Struthio camelus: one gene and its partner. The main gene of each other region encodes a partner of the protein of the gene in region 2 in a complex. Links are inferred from orthologs where the notes say so. Each region holds a gene or a part of one and is shown on either strand. Other genes may lie near its edges.

What was found.
Region 1: the proteins of voltage-gated potassium channel subunit beta-2 (region 2) and KCNA3 are in contact, whole or in part, in a cryo-EM structure (PDB 7EJ2), measured with the Homo sapiens proteins. The link is inferred for Struthio camelus from reciprocal best matches to the Homo sapiens genes KCNAB2 and KCNA3. Residues at the interface, in NP_001186789.1 of Homo sapiens: Met196, Tyr199, Ser200, Arg203, Glu231, His234, Lys235, Ile236; in NP_002223.3 of Homo sapiens: Pro133, Met137, Phe140, Pro142, Leu143, Asn145, Tyr147.

Annotation. Positions count from the first base shown.
Region 1 is NC_090965.1:4,561,600-4,576,143, forward strand, and holds the start of KCNA3 (potassium voltage-gated channel subfamily A member 3), read right to left. Parts: upstream 8,355-14,544; 5' UTR 8,196-8,354; coding exon 6,450-8,195; 3' UTR 4,847-6,449; intron 1-4,846.
Region 2 is NC_090962.1:971,912-986,455, forward strand, and holds the start of voltage-gated potassium channel subunit beta-2, read right to left. Parts: upstream 7,638-14,544; 5' UTR 7,095-7,637; coding exon 6,883-7,094; intron 3,483-6,882; coding exon 3,439-3,482; intron 2,580-3,438; coding exon 2,542-2,579; intron 1,346-2,541; coding exon 1,266-1,345; intron 1-1,265.

The DNA of each region.
Region 1 (14,544 bases), on a different chromosome or scaffold from region 2:
ACGAAACCCTAAAGCCAATACAGGGCGCATGAAATGCCAGGAAAGCAGATGATTGAGAGATCGCCGAAAATAACTACAAACGCGGATCCATCAGCTTGCTTTCACGGGCTGGCAGGCCGGTTCGGCCGCGCTTTCGTTCCCGATCCACGCTCCACGCCGGCCCCGACGCTGGGACGGTGGGGTCGGTCGGCAGTGACGGGATGCGCCGGGAAGCGCCGTTGGCTACAACGAAACACAGAGCCGGCGGGAGAGGCTGCAGTTCCTCGCCGGCATCTCCCAAAGTCACCGTGCTGCAAAGTTGCCTGTTTTCACGGGCCGGTGGCAAGAATCCCCCTGCGCAAGAATCAACCCGCTACGCCCCAGCGCGTTCAGCTCGGTTTTTGCTACCGACAAGGAAACAGCAAATATATATTTTTCTGCTTTTTTTTTTTTTTTCCCCCTCCCCGGCAGGAAAAAAAAAAGCATCTTGGCAGGATGCTTTTGCAGAACGCGCGGCCGTCCTTGCTGTGCTCCGCTGCAACCTCCGGGCTCTCGCGAGCGCCAGCCCCCCGGGGCCGCAAGGAGCCGCAAGGAGCCCCGCTGCCGGCGCGCGGCTCAGCCTCCCCTGCTTCCGCTGCCGATCGAACCATGACACAACCCGAAAGGATTTTCCGTATCTGTCCGAAGCAGCTGGGGCTGGACAGCGTCAAAGGAAAACTAAACGGACTAACGCTCCCTGACAGCAAGGCAGAAGCTAGCTGCTGGCTTTTGCCGGTTGTCAGAGCTGCGCGTCCAACCCGGGGCCTTCCCGTGTGTGCAAAGATGCTAAAAATTAAGGGCAACCAATGTAGAAAAGCAGCAGACGTGCCAGAGCTTGTCGCTGCTCAGAAAAGCACCTGCAATACGAGGCCAAAGGAAATGAATCACCCCCAGAAACCCAGCAGAGCATGCTGTCATCTGCACGGCTAACCTAGAGGTCTTAACAGTAGCGCGCAACACGGTTGGGGAGAGATTATTTGAGCTATGAAAAGGGGAAGAGCAGTAATAGGTAGGATTTTAGCTGCTCCCAACCAGGGGGACGCCGAAGCTTCGGCTCGCAGCACTACGAGCCAGGTTTTAATTTGCTCGAGCGTGTCCCGATTCGGAAAAAGGAGGAAACCGATGCTGCCTGGAGGGGACGGTCACGCGCCGTCCTACTGCAAGGCCTCCTCGGCGGTGAAAACGATAAGAGGCAGAGGGACTGCCACGACCCGCGGGCGTCAGAGCCGCGTTTCCTCAAAGGCCGGACGGAGCAAACGCGGCGGCGGTGCAGTTCCCGCAGGGTTTCCGCGGAGCGTTCTGCACGGCGGTTTCGCCTCGCGCTCCAGCGGCGGTGATGAAACGGCTTCGGGTGCATCCTTCTTCCGCCGGGAGGAAAGTTCTCATGAGCAAAAAATGCGAGTTGCTTTAGCCCGGTGACAAATAACAGAGGCGCTGCAGCGCCGATGCCTTCCAAAGTGCAAACCAGCAGACACGCGCCCCCCGGTTCGGTGGGATGAATATCGCTTTCATTATTCGTTTTCCTGCTTGGGAAGCCAAGATCGGGTGTAAAAGGTCTCGATTGTGTCCCGGGCTCGACCGCAGCAAGGCCGGCAGGGTTCAGAGCAGCAAATGTGGCGCGATGGCCCCGGCTGGAGCCGAGCCAGGCGCCGCGGGCAGGCGCTTCTGCGCCTGGGCAGTGAGCTCGCTTGGCCGATGTTAAACAATATCTCTGCCTGTATATCTGCGCCGTTTCCTCTGCCCTAACGCCAGTCCTTTTTTTGCCCCAGGAGAGCTATAAATCGCCATGAAGCATCCTCCCTCCGGCTGGCACAGGTTTCTCTTGGCCCCGCACGCGGGTTTGGGGCCGGCGGGTCCAGCCGGGTGGTTGCCCCGGTCCCGGAGGGGCGGACGGGCAGCCCTGGGGGGCCGACGGCCGCTGCGGACCGCGCCGGCTCCTCCAGCCCGCCCGAGAGCCGCGAGCAGCCCCGGGCTGCCCCGTCGCTGCGGGAGCGTTACTTTGGGGTTTCTTCCCCGTTAGATCGTTTCCCGGACGGCCCCGGACGATGCTCTGAGAACTTGACAACTCGTCTCACATCAGCTCACCCATTTCCAGCTGGGAAAAGCCCCAAAACGAAGCTAAGAAACCTCCTACGATATCTGCCCGCTCTGCCCGGGCAGCGATTCCCGGGCCGGGACAATCCGGCTGCCTTCGGGGTCCCCCGCGCTCGAGCAGCCTCCAGCATATACGTGAAACTAGGGAAAACTAGGGAAAACTGGGAAACGCAGCAGCAGCCTGGCTACCTGCCTGTAACACATCCTCCAGCCGCACGACCGAGCCCGACGGGATCAGCCAGCCGGCCACATCCCCGCGCCGGACTCCCAAGCAGCCCCGGAGCGGGGAACGGCGCGGAAGAGCAGCGCCGGCCCCGCGGCAGCACAAAGAGCCGATAACACCCGGAAAAGTCCTGTTTTCCGCCTGCGCTGGCTTTGCGCGAGGGCTGCCTAGGCGGCTCCCCTTCTCCGTGCGCAGCACGAGACCTAAGGCCCGATGCAGTCATCCCGCTGAAATCCTATTTGTCTGGTTTTACTCGCGGGTCTGCAAGCCACCTAGTTTTTTGTTTGGGAAAAAAAAAAAAAAAGGCAAAACGGGGCGGGGGGGAAAAAAAAGCCTGGTCTCCAAGCAGGCTGGGCTCAGAGCCTCCGTGCGCTCACCCAAAGATATGCATATTTTAAAAGCTTGGCAGGAAGAGGGCTCCAAACTACACGCTTGAACCGATTTCTCTAAGCGCGCTCGCCCGCTGCAAGAGTCCCTTCCCCGGCGCTGGAAAGACGCTCCGTAGCCCGCAGCTCAGGGCCTCGGCGGCACCGGATTTGGGGAAAAAAATGAGGATAAGAGAAAGATTTCCTTTGTCAAGTGATGGAGCAGCAGTGACTGCCCGGGAGGAAACGTGACCCTCCTGGAGGCAGCGGGCATCCCCCCGGCCCGCACTCGCGTCTGCACCCACGGTCGGACGGCACCCCAACGGCGCTCACTGGGCTGCAAAACGGGAGTGTTTTGGACCGAAAGGCCAAAAAAAGGGCTGAAAAAGTGATGGCGTCAAGGCGGCAAGCCGAAGGGCGTCGCAGCGGTGCCGGAGCCGGCGTCGCTTGGTCTTGGCAGAGGAGGCGGGTGGAGGACAGAGGCACCACGAGGAGGAGGAGGAGGAGGAGGAGGAGGAAGATGAGGATGACGAGGAGGAGGAAGAGGAGGAGGAGGAGGACGAGGAGGAGGTTTCGGAGGGCACGGCGGCGGCGCCAGGCGGGGAAGCAACGCCAGCTGCCGCTCCGTTTCGGATCGCGATCGGAGAAGGTCAGGCAGGAGCTTGGCTGAGCGCCGCTGGCCCGCTCCAAGGCAAAGCCGCGGGCGCAGCCGCCCCGCTCGCGGGCTGCTCCTAAGGACAGAGCGGCTCGAGAAACGGCCTTTTGCTGCGCTGCCTTCCTCGCCGTCTCTCCCGTACGCTACTTTTCCTTGTGAATAAAACCAGTCTTGAGTCATTTCTGTCCCGTCCGGCACTCAAAATCAGGCAAGGGGGAGCCCTGAAAGCGAAGGAGCAGCCGGGCACGTGTCCGCACGGCTCAGCGAGCTGCAGACTGTACTATGCCACCTACACGCTAACGCGCGGTTTCCATACCAGCCCTGCCATACGTACAGCTGTCGCCGGGAAAAATCAGATGCAAAACTCATCTGCGAACCCTCCTGAGTGGGAGAGTGTTTCCACTGCTTTTAAACCCAAACCAGCCTGGTGCGTCAACTCTTTGGTAACAATACAGAAGCGAGAGCTCGTGGCGGGCAAAAGCATCGCAGCCTCCGCCAGGACGGGCAGAAGCGGGGCGAGAGGCACGGCGGGACAACCCAGCCAGGCCGGCGCGGGTGAAAACCCGCCGGGAGGTTATTCGGAAAAGGTCTCCCGGCTGCGGGTCCCACCTTTGCCACCCTGGAAAAGGCTGCCCGGGAGATGCGAGCTGCCTGCTAGCTCCCGCCGTGGCAAAGCTCCAGCACATCCAACTAATAAAGATTATTCGATCAGATCTTCAGCCTCTGTAAACTACTGCAGCTCCAATAAAGCTGTCAGATACCGTTAGCTGAGGAGCTGCCCCGGTGTTTTGCTCGGTTATAAGGGTTTTTTTTTTTTATTAACTGAGCAAGACAGCGGGGCTAAGACGAGGCTAAGGGCGAGCGTTACATGTTACGAATTGCTCTGATCCTTTTAAGTCTGGCTAAAATCCCGGCTCAGCTCTGATTTCCGCGCGGCCAGGATCTCCCCGGGACAAATCCTCCCTTTCTGCACGCTCGGCTAAACGTGTGACTCACCTCGGTTACGAGTCTAGTTGCTCTTTTGTTGGAAGAGGCATCTCCCGGCGTTCCCGCGCGGTTCGCTACAGCGAAGGAATCTGTTTGCACTTAGCGAGAAACCGCAGAGCAAGGGCAAAGGCGCGCCGAGCCGGAGAGGTGCGCGGCGCCCGAGCACCCGCGGCGCGGGGCCCTGCCTCCCCAGCCCGCGCCGCGAGCACCGGTCGGCCCTGCTCGCGGCGGAAACGCCGCCAGCAACCTTTTCAGCGGAAGAAAACGGGGCTGCCAAGAGCCGCGCGGCTTTGCCGCCCCTTCTGCCCGCCCGGAGCGAGCGACGGCGAGGGGGGGAAAAGCCGGTTAATCAGAGGAGACATAGGGTGTTGTTGCACTCCACCCAACAGGCGCATAAATACATGAGGGCAGCCCGGTCGGATGCAAAACTGGGCAAGACATCAGGTCCGTCCCAAAAAAGCAATGGTACCTTAGGAGGCGTTAAGCGCCGCGGGCGAAGCTCACCTGCTCCTGTCTGACGTCCCGCGGCCCCGGGCGCGTAAGGAAGGATGAAGCGGGCATGGTTTCCCCCGGCGGGGTTTGGGGCACTTTGCAATGCTGCTCTTTACGGCTGCGTGGGTTTCCCCCGCGGTTTGGAGAGGTTGGCGTCGCTGGGCGGCAATCCCCGGCTCGGCGCCGCTCGCGCTCGCACGTGGGTCGGCCGCTCGGGCTCGGCGGGCGCTTGCGTTTGCATCGAGAGACGCCGCTTCCCAAATCGCGTCGCCGGGGCGGCCGGGGCGAGGTGGACTTTTGGCGTGCTTATTGCCTACAAACGGATGCGGCGGGGGACGTGGACCGAGCGGGACGGTCGGCGGGCCGGGCAACGGGTGCGGAGCGCCCGCCTCGGGCCGGCACCCGCTCCGCGCCGGCGTCGCGGCCGTCCCGCGGGAGCTGGAAGCGTCTGGAAGGGCGGCTGCGGGAAGGGCACCCGCCGAGGGGGCTGGCAGCCGGGATGCCATGACAACCTTCGGGGGTTTCCCAGGAAACCGGGGTCGCCATGGCAACTGCATCACTCCGGTCCGAATTAGCAACTTCCGCTGCAAGGCGCCGTCGGCCGCTTTTATCTCCTGGCGATGAAGCGGCCGCCGCTCCCGCGACTGCATCGCAGCCGGGCGGAAATCTCCCGCGGGTTCGGGTGCCGAGCGCGCCGCCGCCGCCGCCAGCCCCGGCTCCGCGCCGGCACCGCTCCCCGCGCCCCGGGCTCTCGCCGCGAGCGTTAAATCTTGCGCTTTCGTCTCCCCCTGCCCCGTGCTCACGCTCGCCGGGCGGACAGCAATTTTCTGTCGGATGCAATAATCCCGTAGGGTTGCAGGGGAAGGGAGTTAGGAATAGAAAATGAGGAATTTTTTTTTTGTTTCTTCGTGCTGTTTAAATCAGAAGTGATTACACTCGCTCTCCGGCCAGATTAGAATTTCAAAAAAGATCTAGAAGGGGAGAAAAGGGAATCTGGGATGCGCCCCTAATGGCACACCACATGTTTCGATATTAAGCATCATTTAACAATGTGGTAACAGAGACTCTTTGCAAAATTAAGCGGTCGTTTTCCTCCCAACCCCCATCTCCTTCCAACGAGCTCCGCAACATGTTTTTCTCGTCTCCCCACCCAACTCGCGGTTGCTAATCCAACAAGTGAGCTTATGTGATGGAAGGGAAAACAGCTACACACTGCCTTTAGGGAAGGGGGAGGACAAAAACAAAACAAAACAAAACAAAACAGAAGCCAAGCAAGACGTCCCCAGAAAGGAGAAAACAAAAGCAGCCCTGCCACACGTTGCAGAACAAACACCTGTTTCCAGGGTGAGTGTGTTTTGCCTTCGTCTTCCTCGCCTTTACCCTTTACCCGTCCTCTTTTCTTCGGAGCATTTTAAATCCTCCTTTTTATGATCGATAGAAAGGAACAATCTAAAAAAAAAGGAAACGTATAAAACCAAGGGCACACACGGACCGACGATGGTGCATGTTCCACACAACACTGAGTACACAGTCATTTTGCATTATTATTGTTGTTGTTTTGCAACGCAGCCTCAGGGTTTTGTTTGTTTGTTTGTTTGTTTGTTCTGTTTTGTTTTTAAACGTCCGTAAAGATCTTTTTGATGTTCACACAGTTGGGATTGTTTGTGGTTGTGCAGTTGCCTGTCTTAAAGGTAGCCTGTTTGAATGCACTGTGGTTGATGCCCCCTTCTTCTATCACCATGTACTCCGACTTGCTGAGGGTGGAATTGCTGCGAGCCTTCCTCATTTCCTCGGTGGACGAGAGGTGCTGGCAGCTGCCGACGTGCATGTACTGGGCTTGCTCCTCACCTTCGGTCTCCCGGTGGTAGAAATAGTTGAAATTGGAGACGATGACAGGCACAGGGAGAGCAATGGTTAGCACCCCCGCGATGGCACAGAGAGACCCCACAATCTTGCCCCCGATCGTGATGGGGTGCATGTCCCCATAGCCCACTGTGGTCATGGTCACCACTGCCCACCAGAAGGCGTCGGGGATGCTACTGAAACCCGAACTGGGGTCATCGGCCTCTGCGAAGTAGACGGCGCTGGAGAAGAGGATGACGCCAATGAAGAGGAAGAAGATGAGTAAACCCAGCTCCCGCATGCTGGCCTTGAGGGTCTGCCCCAGGATCTGCAGCCCCTTGGAGTGCCGGGAGAGCTTGAAGATGCGGAAGACCCTGACTAGGCGGATGACTCTAAGGATGGCTAAGGACATGGCTTGCTGGCCGTTCCCTTGCCTCTCGGCCAGCTCGGTGCCCAGCGTGATGAAGTAGGGAATGATGGCCACAATGTCAATGATGTTCATGATGTTCTTGGAGAAGGTGGCCTTGCTGGGGCAGGCGAAGAAGCGGACGAGCAGCTCAAAAGAGAACCAGATGATGCACAAAGTCTCCACCACAAAGAAAGGGTCGGTGAAGGACGACACCATGGAAGCAGCCGAGGACGAGGAATTGGTGAAGACATCAGGTGGGAAAGGGCCACCACCCGTCCCAAAGGTCCCCCCGGTTCCCTCATAGTCGTGATCATCCCTGAACTCAGGCAGGGTCTCCAGACAGAAGATGACGATAGAGATGAGGATGACCAGGACAGAGACTATGGCGATGCCTCGGGCCGGCCCAGAGCTCTCCGGGTACTCGAAGAGGAGCCACACTTGGCGCTGGAACTCCTTGTCGGGCAGCGGCCTCTGCTCCTCCCGAATGAAGCCCTCGTCCTCCCGAAACTTCTCCATGGCCTCCTCCCCCAGCTGGTAGAAGCGGATCTCCTCGGAGAAGATGTCGATGGGGACGTTGACGGGCCGCCGGATGCGCCCGCCCGACTGGTAGTAGTAGAGGATGGCGTCGAAGCTGGGCCGGTTGCGGTCGAAGAAGTACTCGTTGCGGAGCGGGTCGAAGTAGCGCATGCGCTTGCGCGGGTCGCCCAGCAGCGTCTCGGGGAACTGCGCCAGCGTCTTGAGCTGGGTCTCGAAACGCAAGCCCGAGATGTTGATCACCACCCGCTCGCAGCACTCGTGCTCGCCGCCCGCGGCGGGGTGCCCGGCGGCGGCGGCGGCGCCCGGCGGCGGCGGCGGCTGGTCGTAGCGGTCGCCGCCGAGCAGAGGGTGAGGATGCTGCGGCTCCTCCGGCAAGGGGTCGCCGCCGCCCCCCGCCACCACCACCGTCATGCTGCCTTCCTCCGCCTCCTCGCCCTCGTCCTCCTCTTGCCGGGCGGCGGGCGGCTGCTCGCTGTAGCCCAGGTTGCGGTGGCTGCTGGCGGCGCTGCCCCGCGGGGGCCGGCCGGCCGAGGAGGCAGCCGGAGAGCGGAGCAAGCTCAGGCGCTCGTCCATAAAGGTGGGGGAGAAGGGGTCGGGCAGGACGGAGGGGAAGGAAGGAAGGAAGGAGGCGGCGGCGGCGCCTCTTCTTCTTCCTCCTCCTCCTCCTCCTCCTCGTCCTCCTGCGGGCGGAGAGGGAGAAGCAACCGCCCGACTCCTCCGGCGCCCGCTGCCGCTCTGAGCAGCGGAGGCTCCTCTCAAAAAATCCGCCCCCAGCCCTGGCGCCGCCTCGCTCGCCGGAGCCACCCCCAGCAGCGCGCCCCGGCCGGCCGCGGCCCCCCGGCCCCCCCGGCCCCCCGGCCCCCGCGTCTCCCCTCCGCGGCCGCCGGTCGCGCGGGGGGAAGAGTTTTTTCCTGGCAGCGGCGCTGCCTAGAAGGAGTTTTCCTGCTTTCCCCCCCCCCCACCCCGGGGGGAAAGCCAAAATGTGATTTATTTTTTTATTTTTTAACGCCGGCGCTTCGGCTCTGCCTGTCCGCTGCGGGTCACCGTTTCGGGGACGCGGCTGCGGCTAACGGGAAGCAGAGACAGCGCCTCAGAGAGCAGCCAACAGTTGTTTTGAATCAGCATTTCAGCTACAGTCGGAGGGATTTTCTTTTCTTTTCTTTTCTTTTCTTTTTTTTTTTTGCATAGGAGAGAGGTTGAGACAGAGCGTGCGTGTGTGTGCGCGTGTGTGCCTGTGCCTCCCCGCAGCCAAACAAGCGGAGGAGCGAAGCGCAGTCGGATCGCAGCTGAAGGCAGTCGCAGTCTGAAACGCAGATCTGCCTTTCAGCGTTTCCCCCCCCCCTCCCCGAGCCAGCCAAACGGCTTTTCATTCCCCCCCCCACCACCTCCTTGAACTGATCTTATGCAAATCGATCAATTTTGATGAAAGGGTTTTTTTTTTTTTTAAAGGGAAAAGCCTCCACCGCGGCGACCAGCACCCAGCACGGCTCGTGCAAACGCTCCGGCCCCGTGAGATTTGCCCCCAGAGCTCTCCCCAACCCACCCCTCGCTCTCCCAAAGCCCTCTAATCCCAAGGCACGTGCCAAACAGGGCTTGGGCAATTCAGGGAATTACCCGCTCGGGAAGAAGCCCGGCCACGAGGCTCAGGGAGGTGTGAGAGGTCCGACCGCGCCGCCTTCCCTGCGTCGCCCGGGTGGTCCCGCTGCGAAGGAGGTTAGAAGCGCTCCGGCAGATTGGAGCCCCACTCCGGCTTATTACCGCGGTTATTTTTAACTAGAACAGCCTCCAGAAGGTAGGGAGAGAAACAGATGAAAAGATCAAACTTATTTATGCTTTAAATTAGCAACAAGCTGCACAAAATATACAAAGCCATAAAAGAAGCCAAGCACGGGGGAAAATCAACACTAAACAGCGCCGCCAGAGCTGGCTCCGCACCGGGCGCGGGAACGCCGGACCGACGCTGGCAGAGCCGACGCGGGGAAAAAAACCCTTTGTCCCAAGGCATCAGCGCCCACCCGTCAGGTTTCCCAGGAATTAGGCACACCGAGGGGGTCCCGCTGACAAGGTGGGCCTCCCACGCGGCGCCGAGGCCAAGCAGAGCCTTTGGCTAAGCCGCCCGTGGCGGTTGCATCTCCCAAAATCATCCCTGGTGCTCTTTCCGGACAGCATGCCCAGCATGGCAATTTTTTACACCACCAGGAAAATTGCAGGCTCCCCTGCGAAGACGGTCCCCTGCGATCCTGCTTGCACGGGGACGTGCACCTTGCCATGGAGTTTGATGCATGTCCCTTGTTGTCACCTCCATCCTTGGCTTTAAACCCCATCCATGGAGGCCCGTTTCATCCGAGGCTGCAAGCTGGCCTTGGAGGAGACAGCTGGGCCAACAGATCCCCATCCGCTCACCCCGTCTCTGCTACCGCAATTAATAGCGCAAATCCGGGATGTGCTCCCAGCGAGAGCAAGCACTCCTCCCTTTCAACCCGGAGCATCTCCCAAGTTTCCCAGCCCCCGGACAGGGCAGGAAGCACAGCCTGGGCTGATCATTAACCCTTGAGCTACCGGCGTTGCTTGTAGGTTAGGAAAGCCAGGAAAATTCCTCGAAACGACTGCTGGCATCCCAGCGCGAGGAGCTATTTCCTGCGCGTTTCGTGAGCATGAAACAGCCATCAGCTGCGCACCGCGTACATGTGTGTAGCACTTCAAGACTTGTCTGGCTCATCCCTTTCCTCTGCCAGGATTTCTGCCAATAAATCACTGTCATCTGGTCTAAGGCAAACAAACAAGGCTGCTTTCATACCATAAACATTTATCGATGACAAAAGGCTTGAGGCAACCTTCCATAATTGCAACAGTTTATTCTGGATCTCCGTCGGGGTAAACCCGGGGGAAATTGGTGCCAGCAAAGCCATCCGGAGAGCGCTGCTAGGAAAAGCCCTTCTCCAAAAACCGGGAGCAGGGTACAACCCTTTCCTCCATCACCCGCAACCCAAACACGCATTAACCCTCGAGCGCCTGGCGTTGCCCCACTCCCCAACCTTCCCCGTCAAGGGATTTCTCCGGGGGCTTTGGCCCGGCCACCCCAGGCGCCGCTTGGCCTCCTTGGCCTTATTTACTCTGCGGCCGCCTCACCGTAATCCCATCAAAGCCAATTAGGCTGCGCCAGGCGGAGCGCTTGCCGAGCTCCCGCGCGGACCTGCAGCACCCCGGGGTGAAGAAACACCCCCCCTTCCCCTGCCGGCAGCCCCAGCCTGGCGGGTGGTGTGAGCGGGAGCTCCCTGCACAGGGCTGCTGGAGGGCTCTCTGCTCTCTCGCCCTTGAATGAGGAGCCCGTCTCCATTGATAAACCTGGGACAAACGGGCTGGTCTTTATTTCCGAGGATCGGCAACCTCTCAGCAGTAAGGCTGCAGCAACAGCATCTTGACGCGCTGCAAACGCGTCCTCTCCCCTCCCACCGCAGGGAACGTGCCAAGCGCCAGCTGCTGCAGCAAGACCGCGTGAACTCGCTCCCGAGGTTCCTCGTGTCCTTCCCTCAATCGGGTTTTCACTAATCACAGCCTAGGCAAAGCCTAGGTTTGGCTTTCCAACCTGCTTTCCGACCTGCTTGCCCTCACTGTAACCTTCGGCTGGTTCCTCTCAGTCAGATTATCCCAAATTTTTATGATTATTTGCTCTGCAACCGGGGAATAAGTCACCCAAGGCTACCTCTGTCTGCAGATGCCCCGTTCTGCTGTCCTCCCCTTCTCCCCCAGGCAGGCAGGAGGTGGCAACGCTCCTGCACTGTCTCGGCCACTTTTTTGCTCTGCGTATTCGGAGGCTAAGACAAATTCTGCCCTAACCAACTCCACCGGTGCCCTCGAGGCAGCAGGAGAGCAAGGGAACCCGATCTCCATCTCCCGGGATTAATGTAGCGCTCTGACCGCTGAACCACACTGCCCCTCTTCCTGTTCCTGCCTTAATCACCAGCTGCGAAACTCAGTGGTAGCGCGAGTCCGTGAATCCGTCCGTGCCTCAGTTTCTCATCTGCAAATTAGGAGCAATCCTTGCCTCCTGCCTATGGTCTACTTAAATCTTTCACCAGAGGCTCTTAGCTGCGCTCCTGAGTTGAGAAAACGAGAAAGATGCTGAAATTTTGAATAATAGGGAGCAAAATGCAGTGCTGCCCAAATAAAGCTGGTTGCTTGCGAGTCAGCGCAGGTGAGGACCGTTGCTGCAGGCTCCGTAAGGATAACGAACGCCTCTCTTCAGGGCACCAAGCACAACGGGGCCCGGAGCACGCCACGCTCGTCTCCTACTGCTGCAATCCGGCTAACGAAGGCAGCAGGTCTTTAGAGAGCAGTCATTATTTTTAACAGATGGAGGGAAGTGGGAATCGAACCGCTAACCTGAAATAGCAGAGCATGGACAGCAGCTATTTTTCATGTTATTTTTTTTGCCGCGACACTGCGGACTTAGCCAGTGAGTATCATTTTGCTACTGAAGAACAAGATTTGGTGGCTAAAAGACATCAGCCAAACGGGGACTCCGTTGGCTTTAATAGAGCTGTCCTGGCCAAATCCCAGCCGACTCTTTGGGAGCCCAGGGGTTACAGCTCAGGATATAGTTAGACCTATTTTAATGCCCTAAAAAATGCGATTACCGGGTGGGATTATGTTGGCCAAACAATGTTAATGCAAATTTTGCCGTAATGGGGATCATGTTCGCAGGCCTTCACAATGACGGCAAAAGGATATCCAGCGCAGCCTCCGCAGCTCCTGTTGCACGCCATTATTTTGTCATTAAGAGATAAGATTACATCGACAAAGCAATTTAACCACAAATCCACTGAGACAGCATGGCAATGGCACCGTGTTTTCATTACGATGGTTAAAAACATCCACGCGAGGGTACGACGACCGCGTTACGGTGCGATTACCGGGAAAGTGAGCGACGGCAAAGGCCGGCGCCGAGGCTGCTCTTCGGGGACCCTTAGCAGCAGGGCGCAGCCGCGGCATCAGCGCCGAGTCCCAGGACGGATCCGCTTTCAGCGTAAAGGCTCGAAAGCCCAAATTTCGGGCAGCGGCAGTCACTCGTCGTGCTTGCCACTGAAGGGAGCGCGTCGCGCCGGCGAGGGGTGAATGCTCGCCCGTTGAATTATTTATTCTACAGATGTCACTTGTTTCGGTTTGATGACATTCGCCCTCATCCAGCAGGCCAGCGCAGGGCAAGACGGAGCATTTACAGCCTATGAAAGCCAAGCGAGTCGCAATGGCATCTGACGGCAGCCAAAACTGCGGTCGCTGAGCCCCTCCGATAACCAAACCCAGCAATTCCTCTCTGTCTAAGTTAATGTAGTTGGGAGCCCCTCGGGCTGTGGAAGAGTTTGCCCTAAAACACAGACTCTTCACAACAGTATTTTAGGCTGCATTTTCAGAGGGAATTAAGGATATTCACTGGGAATTGGTGCAGGATCAGTCCCTTCACAGCAGTAGTTCAGGTTGAATTTTCAGAGTGAGTTGGTACCTGACTCCCTTTGGCTGCGCAGACGGCTCCAACCTTGGGATTTTCCTTTGCCTCGAAATAACTGGAGAACCTGCAAGTCGCAGCTGTGCCACCAAACGTCCTTGTAGAGGCTTCAAGGCAGATATATATTTTCAGAGCATACGCTCTTCGCGCTTTTCCCATTGTTTAGCTTTGCATAAATAAACGGGCTCCCAGAAGCTGATTGATTTTTCCTGGCACGGGTGCTGGGTAGCGGGGACGGATGCCTGCCTCAACCCCTCTTTGCCCTAACCGCTAGGCTGCTAGCAACTAGCTCAGCGTGAGCTGAGCACGGAGGAGATTTATCGAGGGCACCGAGCTGTCTCTCCAGAGCACACCATCTCCGTGATAGACACCGCTCTGCCTGGAAAGCAGGCAAGGCCTTTCCGCCTGGGTTTTGTCTCTTGGATCTCGTCCCTCCGCCTTCCCCAGCCCTCCAAATCTTTTTATAGTTTTTCCTTTGCCAGTTCAGTGAACATCGTATTAGAGATATGTGTCACCTGGAGCCAACAACGAGGCACGAGGCGTTGGCAGTACACCGTATTCAAGTGGGGTACGACTACCATAAGCCGCGCGTCTTCGACATCGTTGGAGAAGAGCCACATTTCAGCAGCTTTGGTGCCAGCCAAGAACTAGTGTGAGGAGCACAGCTTAACGCAAGCGCCAGCGCGTTCAGCTTCGTGACGAGCCAGCCGCAATTTGGACAACAGACGTGCAAACGAAAGGGCAGTTTTTATTCATTTACCAGCAAGGAAATTTCTCCCTGTGTTGACAAAGTTTGCCCAGAACTGCTTCCCACCTGCTAGGTGGAAGTTGGAGAGGAAGCAACCACCCAGCAACCCAGGGGTGCAGCCGGGAGCTGGCACCCAGCTCTCGGAGAACTAGGCTTGTTCCCCAGAGCATCCCAGTCCGCTCTGAACCAGCAGGACTGGCAGAGCCTGGAGCCTGAGCCAGATCTGTGCATCTAAGGACCCCATATGATCCGGGTGTCCAAGGACCTCGCTGTGGTATGATTGCTCTGAAGCCATCGAACTTCCATTAGGGTTTGATAAAGTCACGAGGACAAACAGGGCAATTGCTGCCCGGCCGCGATTAGAGGGCAACAGGGTAAGGAATGAGATGCTCCAGTGGCCTGGATCTCCCAGCGACACGGTCCTCGGGCTTGACGTCTCAAAGGAAATGGCTAAGTAGAAAATTAAAACTTGCACACGTCACCAGGCTAAACACGTTACTGCAGCCCTATCTTCCTGGCTTCACGGTTTGAGTTAATGAGTCAATGTTTGTGCCATTCTTTGAACCATAAAGCCCTGCATTAAGTGCTAACATTGTCATCCTTCCCTTCGCAGCTGCCAGTCCAGGGGAAATTCTCATCTGCCCAAAGGCTCTTTCGACTCTCCTCCACAC
Region 2 (14,544 bases):
CTCTTTCAAATATTAGAAACTAGAGCGTCTGCAAGCGCATTTGTACAGAGGAGCTTTAGATACTGCTCAAACAATATGGTGAGTGAGCATGGCCATCCAAGTCAAACGTGTTTGAATGTCCTTATCTGGAAAAGTTCAAACAGAGGCAAATCAAGTATGCTGGGAGAACTGGACGAGGGCTTCGGTGGAGTACGCATATACAGCCACGCCACAAATAGTCCTGGCGGGTTCGTTTCAAAGGTATTGTGCTTGTTATTAATTCCTTTGTGACCTGCTGGGCTGCAGACCCTCTGCGAGCAAATGCTCTCAGCGGGATTCTTCTCGCAGACGTTTTATAGCTACCCTGGACCATTTCTGCTGGTTTGGGAGGCTTCCAACAGTACTAACCCAAAGCAAATTGATTGTGAACGGTTACTACCCTGTGCAGTGGCTGAGATGAACGATTTTCAAAGGCTCTGTAAATTCAAACATATTTGCCTAAATCATTCACTGGGTAGTGAACAAAGTCATAAAAGCTGACGCCTGCTTGGGGGCAATTTGCCAACCCAAGAGAAACTAAGTTAGTCGAATATAGTGTTCTCTCCAGCCCAGTTTTCTTGATATTGCAGCAGTGGATTTAGGGAAGGAAAAATGAGGTTTTGCTATTATGTCGATAACCATGCTAATGCTTTTAAAGCTAAATATATCTCAGCTGGCAGCTGCAAGGGGATAGAGGATGCTTCAGCACTCTGCAGCCTAAACCACAGGTTAGCATTTCCGTGCGCTCCTGGGAGCTCTGCGAGTGCCTGACGGCTCCGGCTCCGGAGACCCACGTGGTATGACCCTGGCTGGTCCCCGAGCGGCTGCCTGCTGCCCTGGGAAGCGCTGCTGCCGTCCGCTGCGGCTGCGGTGCCCTGAGGGCTCTGCCTGCGCTTGGCTCGCCAGGGTCGGCCTCGCACCCCGCTCTGCCTTGCCAGGGCACGGCTCATGCTGGCTCCTCTCGCCCCGGCCCGAACGCACTGCAGCCGGGCCCCTGCACCCAGATGAACGACAGCAAAAGCAGGGCCTGGGGCATTATCACCTGGGGCGAAGGTGACACAGGAGCGCACACTTGTTAGGTGACTTATGAGCAAATCAAAAATGCTGCAGGACAAAACACAGGATGGGGCCCTCGGTGAGCAACGGGGGAAAGCCCCAGGAGGAAGACTCGTCCCAGGCTTGGACAGCATGCTCCCATTCACCAGAAATACAGTCCTTGCCCTGGTACCAAAGTGGAAGCTACTTACTTGCCAGCAGCATAGACTTCTGCTGTATCAAACAGATTAATGCCATTGTCATACGCTAAAGTCATCAGCTGCTCTGCCATCTGCAAAGAGAAATCTGTGATGTTGGTAGAGAAGAGGACGTCTAACAGAGAGCAGGGGCAGAGCACTGCGGTGCCATGCTCGCTCATACTGGTGACCCGAAACATGCCGCATGCCGAGTGCTGTCCATGGAGTTGGATCTGAGACCGGCCTCTAAACGTGCAGCTTGATTTTAGAGCTTGATTTAGAAAGCCCCAAATTGCCAAACAAGCAGCCTTGGCCGATCAGTTATGTGCTTACCTTTAGAAAGCCAGGCTTGGAAACGCCAGCCTCTGTGTCCAGGCACGAGGCACACAGGCGTACAGTACAGCAAAACTTTCAGGGTATGTTTGGTGACGTAAGGAAGACAGCAGCTTTGAAGGAGAAAAACCCAAACTCACGCAGCAATGTGATTTTTTTCTCTTTCTCCTCCTGCTTTCACAGTCCCAGGCTCAGAAAAATGATTTATATGGGATTAATTTGAACTCAAGCTGACATTTGATAGCTCAGGAGAAACACGGTGTCAGGTGTCTTGCTGAACAACTGACTGTGCTGAAAGGAGCGCAGGAGGGATCCTGAACTGCTGTGCTAATCGGAATTACAGATGGAGAGCAAACCTGAAGCCTGTTACTAAGGGCGGGTGAGACCTTGTGCGTCTTCTGCCTCACAGAGAATGGACTCATGCAAAACCGGACGGCTCACAGGAGATGCATGCTCTCAAACACATGTGTGACGGAGCGAGCCGGGCCGCTTTCCCTACCGCTCGCTGGGAACAGAAGTGCCGGTTACCTCCAGCTACGTTCAGCCCGGTATATGTTTAAATCACTTCAGAAGTGACAAACAGTTTTGGCAGGTCAGTGTTCAGCAAAGGCAACGCTGAACTCAGTAGCACTGACCCCGGGGCGGTCTCAGCAAGGCCGGGCCGAGGGCTCGCACGCCCTGGTACGACTAAGCGAGGAAAACAATGCACTGCAAGTCCTGACTGCCCCTAGCTGGAACAGAAATCTGGAGAACAATTTCCTCCTTTCTTGGCTGCAAAGTGCTTGGTGACCGCTTTACTATGCCCCGAGCAGACAGTAAAGATAAATGCGTTATGGTAACTGCTATGAAACCATGCAAAAGAGGACAGTCTCCAAAGCTGCTTTTTAAAACAAATGTTGAGAAATTAAAGGAAAGGTCAACCTGCGGAGTAACACGATGCGAAGGGAGCAATACTTACCTCGTCTGTAATCTGACCTCCGAAAGTCACCCATGTCCCTGTGAAGGAGAAAAAGGGCACAGAGCTGGACAAGGGCAGCACGAGACCCAGGTCGAGCTCTGCTGCAGCCAGCAGCCTCGCTCCGCGAAGGGGCGCCCGCGGGAGGCCCATACCGGCCGGCACTGGGCGCCCGCCGCCCAGTGGGACCCGCTCCCCGCGCCGGCCCGCTGCAGGGTTATCGCAGCACGGCCCCGGCTCCAAATACAGCACGCCAGAAAGCAGCTCTGCCAAATACTCCTAATTTCACCTTCTATTATGTCGAGGAGCGGGGGGAAAAGAGGAAACAATTTGACAACTTCTGGGCCGTTTCTCAAAATTATCACCAGCCCAGAAGAAAATCCTTTTTATCTTCTGCAGAATGCTTGATAACATTTCAGTCAGAGAAAGAGATTGTCACCACTGACAGTTTCATAATTGTAAATCATTTTTTTTAAGTAAGTGGCTTGCTTACAATGGATGAAAACCTGTCTAGGTGTTTAATCCTGCACAGTGCAAGTTCCTAGATAGATTTTCAAGTCAGAGGCCAGGCCAGTCTTTGAGGGCACTATCCACACCGCTGTCCTGAGCAGAGAGGAGTGTTCAGGGTGAAGCAGAAATTTTTGCTTAGAATTAGTTACTGTGCGCAAGGAAACACCAGGCTGACAGCTGATGCATGCTTTCTCTGACGCCCAGAACGAGCAAGCTCTGCACGCGCTGAGGTGGCACAGCCCGCCGCCTCTCCCTCCCGTCACGGCGGCTGCGTCTCCCTCGAACGGCAGGAGCCGGGGCAAGGCGAGGAGCAGGCGCCTGTCTCGGCCGCTTGAGAAAGCCACCGGACGGAGCAGATGCTAAAGGGCCGCGGAGAAGCCGGTCACTTACCCAGGCCAAGGCAGGACACTCGCAGCCCAGATTTCCCAAGATTTCTGAAAGACAGAAGCCCATCTGAATAGCAGCCGGGAGTGCTCGAGACAGCGTCTAGGTGTCAGCATGCACGCGAGCGGGCAGGCGCCTGGCGCAGGGCTGGCTGCGGTCCCGGCCCCGTGCTGGCCACTGCACTGCCGCGGGCCCGCCGCTGCGGTCCTGGCGCGGGGCAGGGCACCCCGGGCACGCGCCCAGGGCACCTGCGGACGCTGCTCGCGTTTCCGCGCTGCCTCGGCGCCGGGCGGCTAACCGGAGCAAAAAAGCAAAGCAGAAACGAACCCCCCCCGCAAACCGGGAAGGCAAGAAATGAACATGCCAGAGAGCTGCGGTAAGGATGGAGAGAGAGAAACATGGCACAAAACCACGAGTACTCTGGATTTAGATGCTATAGCAGAAGTGACCATAGGAAGGGAGGACCAAGAAGATTCAGGTTATGTCTCTAAACCCCATATTGTGCCTAAACAATTGAGGCATTTATTTTCAAATAGGAAAAGAAGAGCGAAGAAAGGAGAAATAGCTGAGCGCAACTGAGGCCACCAAGCGCGAACGCAGGCTTGCTGCTTCACTCCTGCACCGAGGCAAAGCTGCCTGACGCTGTCACCAACCAGAAGGCAGAAGGGGGAAAACAAAAGAAAGGGAAAGTAGATGCTGCTTCTTAGAGAGCCAGTTACTGTTGGCTGAACACGGGCACACCGACAGAAACTGGCTAACCTCACAAGAGCCTATCTGCCGAGCAAGCGCAGAGGGGACCGACCAGCCTCTTAACACAGTTTTTACAGTGCCTGCTTCCCTGTACCTCTAAGGTAAGGGCGCGCGGCACAGGCACAGGCTGCGGGCCGCCGGGGCGGCCCCGCGCGCACCGCGCGCCCCGCACGGTAATTTGCTGTGGCAGCAGCCGGTGACCTCATTAAATCTGCTTTATATGATTAGGTCAGAAGTACTACACTGTTCGGCTATTTTCTGACAGCAGCTTTACAACGCTGGTGCTAGCACTAAAACCGACAGCGCACAGCGCGTATCCAGGCGAGACGGGAATAATCACGGGGGAAAACAGTAATGCCCAGGAACGCCTCCGCCGGCAGGACAGGCTGCGTGCAGAAGAGGGCGGCGCACGCGCGTTCGGTGCCCCACGCGGAGGGCCGCGAGCAGAGCCCTCTCCAAGGGCTTACCCGGCCCAGCAGCAGCCGGCTCTGCCCGACGCAGCGGCCCCAGACCCCGCCGAGCGCAAGGGGAGGAAGAGGGCGACGCGGGCGGCCGACGGCGGTCAGGTGCTCTGTGCAGCCCCAGACATTGCCCTGCTACTGACCCCAGCGGCTCGGACACCCTTCGATCCGGCCGAGACCAGGAGCCAACAACCTGCGCCTGACAGCGCAGCAACTGGGGCGACTCACGTGCGAAGCGAGTTGTGCCCGTTCTCAACGGAGCTCTGCTCTGGGGCAGCCCGCTCCCAGCCCGGCACGGACACGCACCGCCGAGCCCCACGCTCTGCGTCGGGCTCGGACACAGCCCTGGGGACCTGCCCAGTGCTCTCCAGGTGCTGCTAATGGTGCACCTGCACCGCAGAGCAGCTCGCGAGCAGAAAAATCCCTTGAGAGCGGAGCAGTTGGCCAAGAAAAATGAAGCGCCCTGTAAAATAATTAAAATGAAGCTGGCGCACAGAGCTAGAGAATATTCTTTTGGGAACGAGTCCAGCCTGGCAGATGTCCTTTCCGCCTTTGCCACAGTGATTGATAGCGAGTTTGAAAAATCACAAAGGTTCGAACAACAAGCATGAAAATACATAAAGTGTAGGTGAGCTGCTGCAGCCGCCCGCGCGCGCGGCTCGGCACAGCGTGGCGTCGCATAGCAACTGCAAGGCGGCTCTGCTCGCGGTCCTCCGCGCGGGGCACTGCCGCCCGGCTCCCGCGGGGCGCGCGCCCCTCGCGGCCCTCCCCAGCTTCAGGCCTCTCGACGCTTGCCGAGGTGAAGGCCGACCCTTCCAGCAAGGCCAGTGTACCGCAGGCCAGTGGAGGTCTTGCTCTCCGATGAGTATTGAGAGGGATTAGCGCAGGGAGAAGGAGCTGAGCGGGAGAGTGTCCATGCAAAGTCTGCTCTGGTGGAACGCGGCCATCGAGCAGAACCGCCAGCGCCGCCCAGGCCCCTCCGGAGCAGGGCAGGCGGGCCGGGCGCAGGGGTCGGGGCGGCCCGGGGACGCCTCGGCGCAGGGCGACCCACCGCGCTTCGCTCGGCGACGCCTTGGGCGCCTCGCTGCGCGCTGGCCGGCAAGGGCTGCGGGCGACACAGCCGACGGCGACGGAGCCAGCCCAGGCGCGGGGCTGCTTGGCAAGGGGCAGGAGAAAAACGCTCTGCCCTTCCGGATGAGAACGGGGCTGCGGGCACGGGCGCTGCCTCGGAAGCACTCTGTCTGAGCACCGCCTGTTCCCCCTTTAGCAAAGCGGCCTGCCTTGCGGGGGGCCGCGCCGGTGCGCTGCGAGCCCTCGCTGCAGGCCCCCGAGGCCCGCGCGCCCCGAAGCCCTCCCGCGCGGCGCGAGCAAGGCAGCGGGACCCTCCCTCGAGAGGGACAAGGCAAATCCGAGCCCGATGAGACGCCGGCAGAGGACTGCCAGGAAGAAAAGGCCTGAGTTATTTAATTTGAAAGATGACAGTGGGTGATAGCTGATCTCATTCCAGCAATCTGCCTGCCTGATACATTTTGCATCCCGATACTGTTTACATCTTGCCTTAAGTGGGAACAGGCAGCGGCTATTAGCTGTAACATGGCATACGTGCTAATCTATTTGGGGAAAAACCCTCAGTCCCCCGCCTTGGCATCGCTCTGCTGCAATGCCATGGAAGCGGGCACATTAACCCAGCGTGTGCTGGCCGTGCCACCGTGTGCACACGGCGTTTTCAAATGCACAGTGCAGAGACAGCAAGCGAATACTGGCTCGTGTTATACTGCACGTGGACCGGGGCTCCACGCAGCCCGGGAGCGCGATGAAACCATCGATGCTGCTCCAGGCCGTGAACCACTGCGCGTTGCAGACCTCCCCCGGAGGCCACAGCCTGCCCGCTCACAACAGGCTAGCAAAGCCACAGGGGTTTTACTAAATCCTAAGCCAAATGTCAGGGTCACGTTTTTTCTCACATTCTACGGGTTTTATGTTACGCTGGACGGAAACAAGAACGCTACTCGGAACTGCAGGGAAAGGAGAAAAAGAGCCACCTGGAAGGCATGCAGCAGCGCAGAAGGGTGACCACGGAGGACGGATCGGCACCTGTGGCACCAGAAACCCGCACGCCAGCAAGCCAGCGGGGAAGCACCACACGCCTCCCCCCGCAGCGTACACACCGCAGCGAGGAAGGCAAAATGCATCCGAGGAAGAAGTAAATCTCCGAATGAAGAGCACGTTCTTCTCCTACCTATATTTCATCCCCGGCTGCTTCACGCTGGAGTCACTGGACGACGGGGCATTTTGCACCGAGAGCTGCCCCAGGCTCCGGGCAACCATGGCCACAGCTCGAAATTTGCTGCGCGTGCCGAGGCTGGGACTGCTGGCATTTTGTCTGTTCAGGCGGTCTTCTGCACTCCGGCTCTTTATACTGTGCTCAGAGCACACAAAAGAAACCTGCATGGTGCTCGCGCTGTATCTGGGCTGCCAAGACGCCCTCCCTCTTTAACACTCAGCCGCGCTCTACTTCACAGCCCAACGCTGCTTCTCCCTGCAAGCGCCGCAAAATGTCAAAGGTGAAAAATAATTGGCAGTGTGTTCCCCCAGGAAACTTGAAAATTTCAAAGCAAAAGCCAAGAAACGAGCAGGAGATGTTGCTCCTCTGGTTTCAGCCTTCTCTTTGGATGTGCAGGGCCGCACCGGCAGTCGCCCGTCCGAGGGTTAAAAAGCAAACTTCAGTTTATTTACTTCCCGGCTGGAATTTGCATGCTGTCCTTTGCTTCCTTTCCCCCATCCTTGACAGCGCAGCCTGACTGGTCTCTGCAGCAGCTCCACAAAGTTTCGCAGATGCTATTGGAGGAATTTTGCCGCCCCTGAGCCCAAAGAAACGATTCACCGGACTGTGTTTCTGCTGAAGCGGCAAGTTCCCCCCCGCGGCGGCAGGAGTCCCGGGCAGGCCGGCCGCGCAGCGCCCCGCGGGCCGGCGGCGCTGCCCTCGGCGGCCTCGCGTCGCCCGCCGCTAGCTGCGCCGCAGGGGGCCCGGCGCCGCGGGCGAGTGGCCGCGCCGGCCAGCCTGCCGAGCCCCGACGGCCGCGGGTGGCGGGGCCGGCCCCCGGCGCTCCCTCTTCCCTCTCTCCTCTTCGCTCCTTCCACTCGCGCGGCTGAAGATACAGCGAGGAATAATGACAACAGCCTAAATTTAGCCGGCAGCCGCTCTGAAGCAGGGACCTCCTCCCCGAATGTCTGTAAAGCTTCACTTACCCAACATGACTGCTGCGGCGCTAGAAGAAGAGGACCCAGCTTATATCATCAGCTTCACGCCATCAATATTTGATGAGCGTTAGGACGCAAATAAACAGTGTCACGCCAAGAGGAGTAGCAGCAATATGACCACTTCCAAGAGGGGAGGGAAGGGCTCCACGTTGGGAACCCTCACATTTCCCTTCGCTTCCACAGCAAGCGCCTCCTTTGTGCAAGGCAGCTGGAAAATCCCCGTATTTATTTGCCTCTAACTTGTCTTTCCAAATCTGCCCTCCAACGAGAGGTGCTGACGGCGGTGGACTTGCAGCCGGGACGAGGCGCGAGGTCTGCTCGCGCGGCGGTGGGCAGCGCAGGGCTGCGTGCAGCCGCCCCGCAGCGCAGAAGCGTAACCCTGGGACATGCCCCAGTACTCCCGCTGCAGCCTGGGGCAGCGGCCTGTTTTGTGAAACCAAACTAGACGGCACCACTTTGTGATGTGACTTGAGTGAGAGAGCTACATTGGCTAAGGAGAAACCAAATTCCAACTTCTCCTATTTAAAAAATGACACAAACTCATTTTTCTAATTGACTACTTTGTGATTTGAGGCATAACATCTGAACGCTTGGTTACACGCTCTAAAGATTTTCCAAGTCCCTGTTCTGCCCCCCGGCCCAGAATTTCTGCCGGAGCAGCTGCCCGCCCTCGCTGCCGTCCTTGCAAGGAGCACATGTGCAGCGCTGCCTCTCAGTAAAGAAAGCAGCTTCAGCGGTCAGGAAATAATTGTTTGATCAACCACACAGAAAAGGAAATACCACAACAGCATCAGGCTGAATTGCCGGTGTAATGGTATACATTGATTCCTAAAGCAGCATTACAAAAGAAAAATTAGTTGGTGTTGCTGGGGGGATGTGGGGGGGGGGAAATTACATAAATTCGGTCACAGACGAAATGAAAAAACTTGTAATCTACTCATGTTTCCTTCTGCCCCAAAGCTCCTTAGTGCCTGCGGCGGAGCTCGGTAATCCCGCTCAGTTCCTGCGGCCCCGCTGCAGGCTCCAGCTCTTCCGCAAGCGCTTTGCCCACTCCTGAAGGCAGCAAGGAAACCCAGCAGTGTGCTGTGGCCGCGGAGGGCCACGTTTCCAGGCTCGGCTCGGCTCGGCTCGGGGTCCCCAGCTGAGGGCCAGCTCTTCTCATGGCACGGGACACAGCACATACTGGCGCTCTCAAAAGGCAGAATTTCTCCCTGAAAAGGTATTCCTGTTTGGCTCTTTCTCTCCCTCCTCGCCTCCAGCCCATCCATCCCCGGCAGCTCTTCAGGGAGCAGCACGACAGGGGCAGCCTGGCAGGGCACCGGAGGGCGAAAACGGGGTCAGGCATTTTTGCAGCCGCCGCTCCTGATGCACCCGCGCGCATTCAAGGAGCAGGAAAGATCCCCTGCCCCAGCCAGACGCCAGCAGCGAGCACTCATCTGCCTGCAACCTTTCCGTGTTTGCAGAGAAAAGCAGGGAAAACATCCCTGATCCCAGATTAAAGTTCCTTGCAGAAGGTTTCAGCTGAAGCCCCCAACCAAAAGAAAAGCCGCAATTTTGCAGTAATAGACTCAGCGGTCCAAATCCTTTTCTGGATTACAGCACTGCGAGCCCATAGCAACACGGCTCAAGGGAACAGCACGACAGCGCCGTAAATCCCCACGGGGGGATGTGGGGAGAGCGGCACGTTCAGCACTGTGCCCTTCACCCCCTTGGCACGAAACGCTCGCGGCACCGCCGCAGCAGGCAGCAGAGGGGGCGGCAGCGCCCGGCAGAGAGCGTGCCTGCGAGCCGGCCCACGGCCCCCGAGCCGCCGCGGGCCCGGGCAGCATGTCCCGCGTTCGAGGCTCCGGGCGAGCCTGGGACACGCTGGGCTGCTCTGCAGGCCAACCACCTACCTGATCTTTCTGGTCAGCTTCAAGAATTACCTATTACCACCACATCAGGTTTTGCATACAGTGATGCTTTGTTAGAGAAACAAGCCAAATTCTGCCTTTTTCCATCAGTGTGTCATTACCGAGCGAGACGGGAGCGCAGGCCGACGCGGAGAGGCTGTGACGCGGGTCGGAGCAAGCTGGCGCGGTGCCGAATTTGCAGAGCCCCCCCCTCCCCAGTCTCAGCTCACCCAGCGAAAACCCACTGCCCCGAGGAGGCTTAGTGCTTCCCTCGGCGCGGGCTAAGCCGCGGCACAACGCGGGGGGATTTTCACAGCGTCAAGCCGCTCGGTGACGTCCTCCCCCGCGCGAGCGAGGCAGCTTTCGGAGGAAGGCTGTGCCTCTGTGCGCCGCCGGCACAAAGCCGAGAGGTGCCGCGCGGCGAGCGCTCGCGGCTCCGTCAGCCGGGAGGGCAGGTCGCGGCGCCTCTCTCCTCCCGTGCCCGGCAGCCCCGGTCGCTGCCGCGCTGAATGTTTCACTGAAGGAATATCTTCGATAGTGCACGTACAAGCCTCGCCCCATGAATAAATAACTGCCCCATGAATATCAAATGGGCTATTGTGACTGCGGAAATGTTACCTCCGTTTATTTTTAGAGAAGAAAACACATGGGAGCCCGACCTGCTGCGTGGGCGACTGAGGAAAGCCAGGAAGCAGGCAGAGCCCCGCAACAGGGTGCACGCAGCGGGGTGCACGCAGGGAGAGCCCCGCGGTGGGGTGTACACCGTGCACCCCTTCAGCCACACCACCCTGACAGCACCTAGCCACAGGGCTCGCAAGCCAAGGCTGCTCCCAATATCACCCACTCTAACAAAGATGTAGTAATTAAAAGAACAAAAGTCAGCTGAAATATTTACATGCCTCTCACTACACCACGTTCTGGACCAGCATGCAAAATTAATGGAGCACCAGCTGGCTTCATGCTTGGAGACGGTTTTCCGGCTCAACATGGTATTTTCTCAGCTTGCTTTCCCTCCCGTGTGTCGGCGTTTACTCTTCCAGCCAACTGCAAAGCAGGGAGAGGGCGCAGAGCATTCAATGCACATGGCAAAATCCCCCAGCAAAGTCTTTTAAAATCAGGCCTTTCAAGGTGACGCTGAGAGGTGTTTGAAACCTGAGCTGAGCAACGCGCACGAGAGCAGAAGCTCCTACGGGCAGCCGCGGTCAGGGAGAGGCGGGCAGGCGCCGAGGGCGGGCGGCCCTGCGCCGGGGCCTCAGCACGGAGGGGGCCCAGCTTGACAACTGCCGCAGCAGCCTGAAACATTCCCGGTTTAAGAGTGTAGAAAAGCTGCTCGGGTGGGCAGGTGAGTGCACTGACATAAGCCAGCCTGGAAGATGTAACCATCAGCATATCTGCCCCACAGCAGGGCTCTCCGCTTATCCTTACGCTTCTAAAAGCCAACCTTACTCAGCCTCCCAGGGCGGTGAGCCGCAGATGGCCAGTCACACCTGACGCTCCAGGAGACGCACAAAAAACAGTAAAAAGCCTTTCAGACCAGGCCTAAAGTGGTGCAATATTTTCCCCCATATACTCTGCATACAAAGAACTTCAGTCAAGAGTTGATTGCGCTCTCTCTGATGACTAGATGGATAAAGTATTTTTGTAGCTGTTTAACTATTTTATCGTTAGAAAGGTGAGAGTGTATTATATTTGCACTTGCAAACTTCCTAATAACACTACAACAAACAAAAAGTTTAAAGAATTTAATCAATAAAAGTGATATAAGCATGTTGATTTATTCTAGCCACTTACATGTGCACAAAAAGAGAAAGAATATTCTCCCTTCAGTGGCCTCGAAAAGATTTTATCGTACTCAAGAAGAAAAAAATGCTCTTGGACACTTCACCTGTGCAGCACCAGTAAGTCATATGCAAAAAGGAGAGCTAAACAGAAAGGCACAGTAAGCTGAAGGATCCCGCCGATGCCCTGCAAGTTGCATCGACTCCTTTGCTGTTCGCTTTGTGAGATTTTGATGCCAACAGTTTTAGTTCATTCTGACCCCAACATGTCATAGCAAAAAAGCAAAATCCTCCATCCAGTCTGTCCTTTCTCCAGCTTAGGTATAAACACCTAACGGTCTCCGGCATCCCAGGAGCCTCGAGACGCCTCCGCACGAGGGGACGCCAGCACTTCTGAGCTACCAAAACACAGGTGCTCTAGGGATTTACGTGCCTTCACGCTTTGTTCAACATGTTAAATATCACGGGCAGGGCGCGTTTGCCCTTTTATAACGATTCTGGCACTAGCTTTTTGATGCCCCCCCAGCTTGAAAAGCGTCTGAGCTGCTGCTTTCCGCGGGCGCGCGGCGGGAGCCGGGGGAAGGCGGTCTCTTACCTATACTTCATGCCCGTCAGGCGGGCTGTGCAGTCGTCCAGCGACAGCCCGTGCGCTCGCAGGAACTCTTCCATGGTCTTGGCCTGCGCCGCCAGGCGCACGTCCCGCAGCCGCCGCAGCTCCCCCACGTCGGCGTGGCGGGCCTGCTGCAGGCCCCAGTCCGAGTGGTGCCTGCTCACCACGCTGCGCAGGCTCTCGCTGTACGTCATGGACAGCATCCTGCTGCCCGACCGCGGGACCTGCGGACGGCCCCGATGGCAAACGCTCAGGGGAGCTGGCGACAGCCCTGTGCCCTCCGGGAGCTGCAACGCGGTGCCTGCGAAAACCCCTGACTTCCTACAGAGGACACAAATGCTCAACGCTCTCGGGCCCAAGCACGCAAGGAAGCTAGCCGGGTCACTGCTTCGGCACACGGCCTCGCCTCAGCACCCCGAGGACGCTGCCCCGGCGCACGACCTGACCTTGCAGAGAGACTAGCGAGGACCTACTGGCAGGCCTGCCGTGGGAAAACTGCAGGAGCAAAAGACCCCGAAGATAAATGGCAACACAACGTACTTAAGCAGAACGAAAGAAGTCAGAGAAAAGCCAAAGAGCAACAAGAGCGGAGCACAGAATACAGCAGCAGGGAACAGAGGAGTTAGTTACTGCCGGGACTGAAACTTGGGCTTACACTGACAGACAGCTGAAACTACGGGAGGCATTGGCACAAGGCCGGCACGCTCCGATGCGCCGACTCCCTGAGAGACTCTCGGCACTCTGCCCCAGAGCCACCGCGAGGCTTCCCACTGCCTGCCTGGGAGAAGAGGGTCTCCTGTGGCACGGGGGCACCGACTCGCCCCGACCACACCAGCTCTGCCTGCAAGGCACAGGCACGCCGGCGGTGGGCCCCAGCAGCTCTGCCTGGCCGCGCCGGGTCGGCCCGGAGCCCGGCCGAGCCGCGGCCGCAGCCCGGCCACGCGCTGGCTCCAGCCTGCAACTGGGCTGCTCAGATTGCGTTACGGCTCCTCTGCCTGGCACCCCTGATCTGCGAGGCTCGGCTGCCTCCTGGCTTGCACGGAGCTGGCTGCAGTCGGTTTGCATTTTCTTACTGAATCAAGAGCAAAGGGCACAAGGGTGGCTCAGCTGGGAACTGGCTGGCTTCGAGCAAGCAGCTGGAGGCAGGAGGAGCCCTGCTTGGCCAAGCCTCTGCCGGGGCTGTGCGCTCTGCCTCGTGCCCCGGGGGCCGCGCACCCAGGGACACCGTCACCCGTGGGTGCTGGCAGCACCCGCCATGTGAGCGCTGCAGCAGGCCGCTGGGGAGCGCGCAGCGAGCGGGCCGCCCGTGTGGTCGCCGGCCACGTCCCGGGAGAAGGCTGGCGTTCGTGCAGCAGACTGCTGCAATCCATGCAGCGAGCCAACCCTCGCCGCAGCGGCGCATGGCACCGAACCACGGCATCGACTTTCCAGCTGGTGCGGGCAGCTGAAAATAGCCTGCTGCAGAGCGAGCTGCCGGGAACGGCTGGAGACAAACCCCTGCTCTGTGGCGACGGGCTGGACTTCCGTGGGCGCTGGGTGCCTGGAAGAAAGGGCATTAGCTTTCCTCTGCTGCTCTGCAACATCCGCTGCTCCTAGCGTCTGCAAAGGGACAGGGGACCTAGGCCCAAGACACGGATTGTGCCCAGGCAGCTCTGGCGTCTGCGGCCCCTTGGCTTTGGGGGAGCGCCTCCTCCGCCTCGGGGACGCCGTGGGGACGCCAGCCGGCCCGTGGCCTGGAGAGCACCGGCCCCAGCGCCGCGGGCCTCGGGGCGCAGCACGGCTTCGTCGGGCTCGCCGGCACTGCGGCAGGGCTGCACCCTCGCTGCCCGTCCTCAGCGCGGCGCCAGCATCACCAACCCCCACCGCAAAGCGCTGCTGCCGCTCGAGCTTTTTGGTTTGGGGACTTCTGTGCCCTGCGAAACATGTAGCTATCAGAAGCTCAATTTTATGGTAGTTTGACTGAAAAGCAAAGTGCACTTTTCCATCAAAATGAGACCTCAAAAAAAAAAGGAAGAAGAAAAATCAATAGACATTAACTTACAAGAAATTACTGAAAACCCCCAAGGAATTCTGACAATAAACAATGTTTTTGGAAGTCTTCTAGAACGCTTCCTATTCAGGAGAATAACGTGGTAAGCGCCTTAAAATTTAAAGTGCTGTAAAAAAGAGAGACTGCGTTCCTGAAGCCAGGAGGAGGGGGGGAAAAAAGCACCAAGTGTCTCGCTCCCCCAGCTCCTTTGCGATCCCAGCAGGGGCCATGGCAGCTCCGAGCGGCCACGGGGAGGAGCACGGGGCACCGGGCTGCCGCGCTCGCCCCGCACCTCCCGCTGCCGCTGGCACGGAAGCCCTGCGCCGGCACC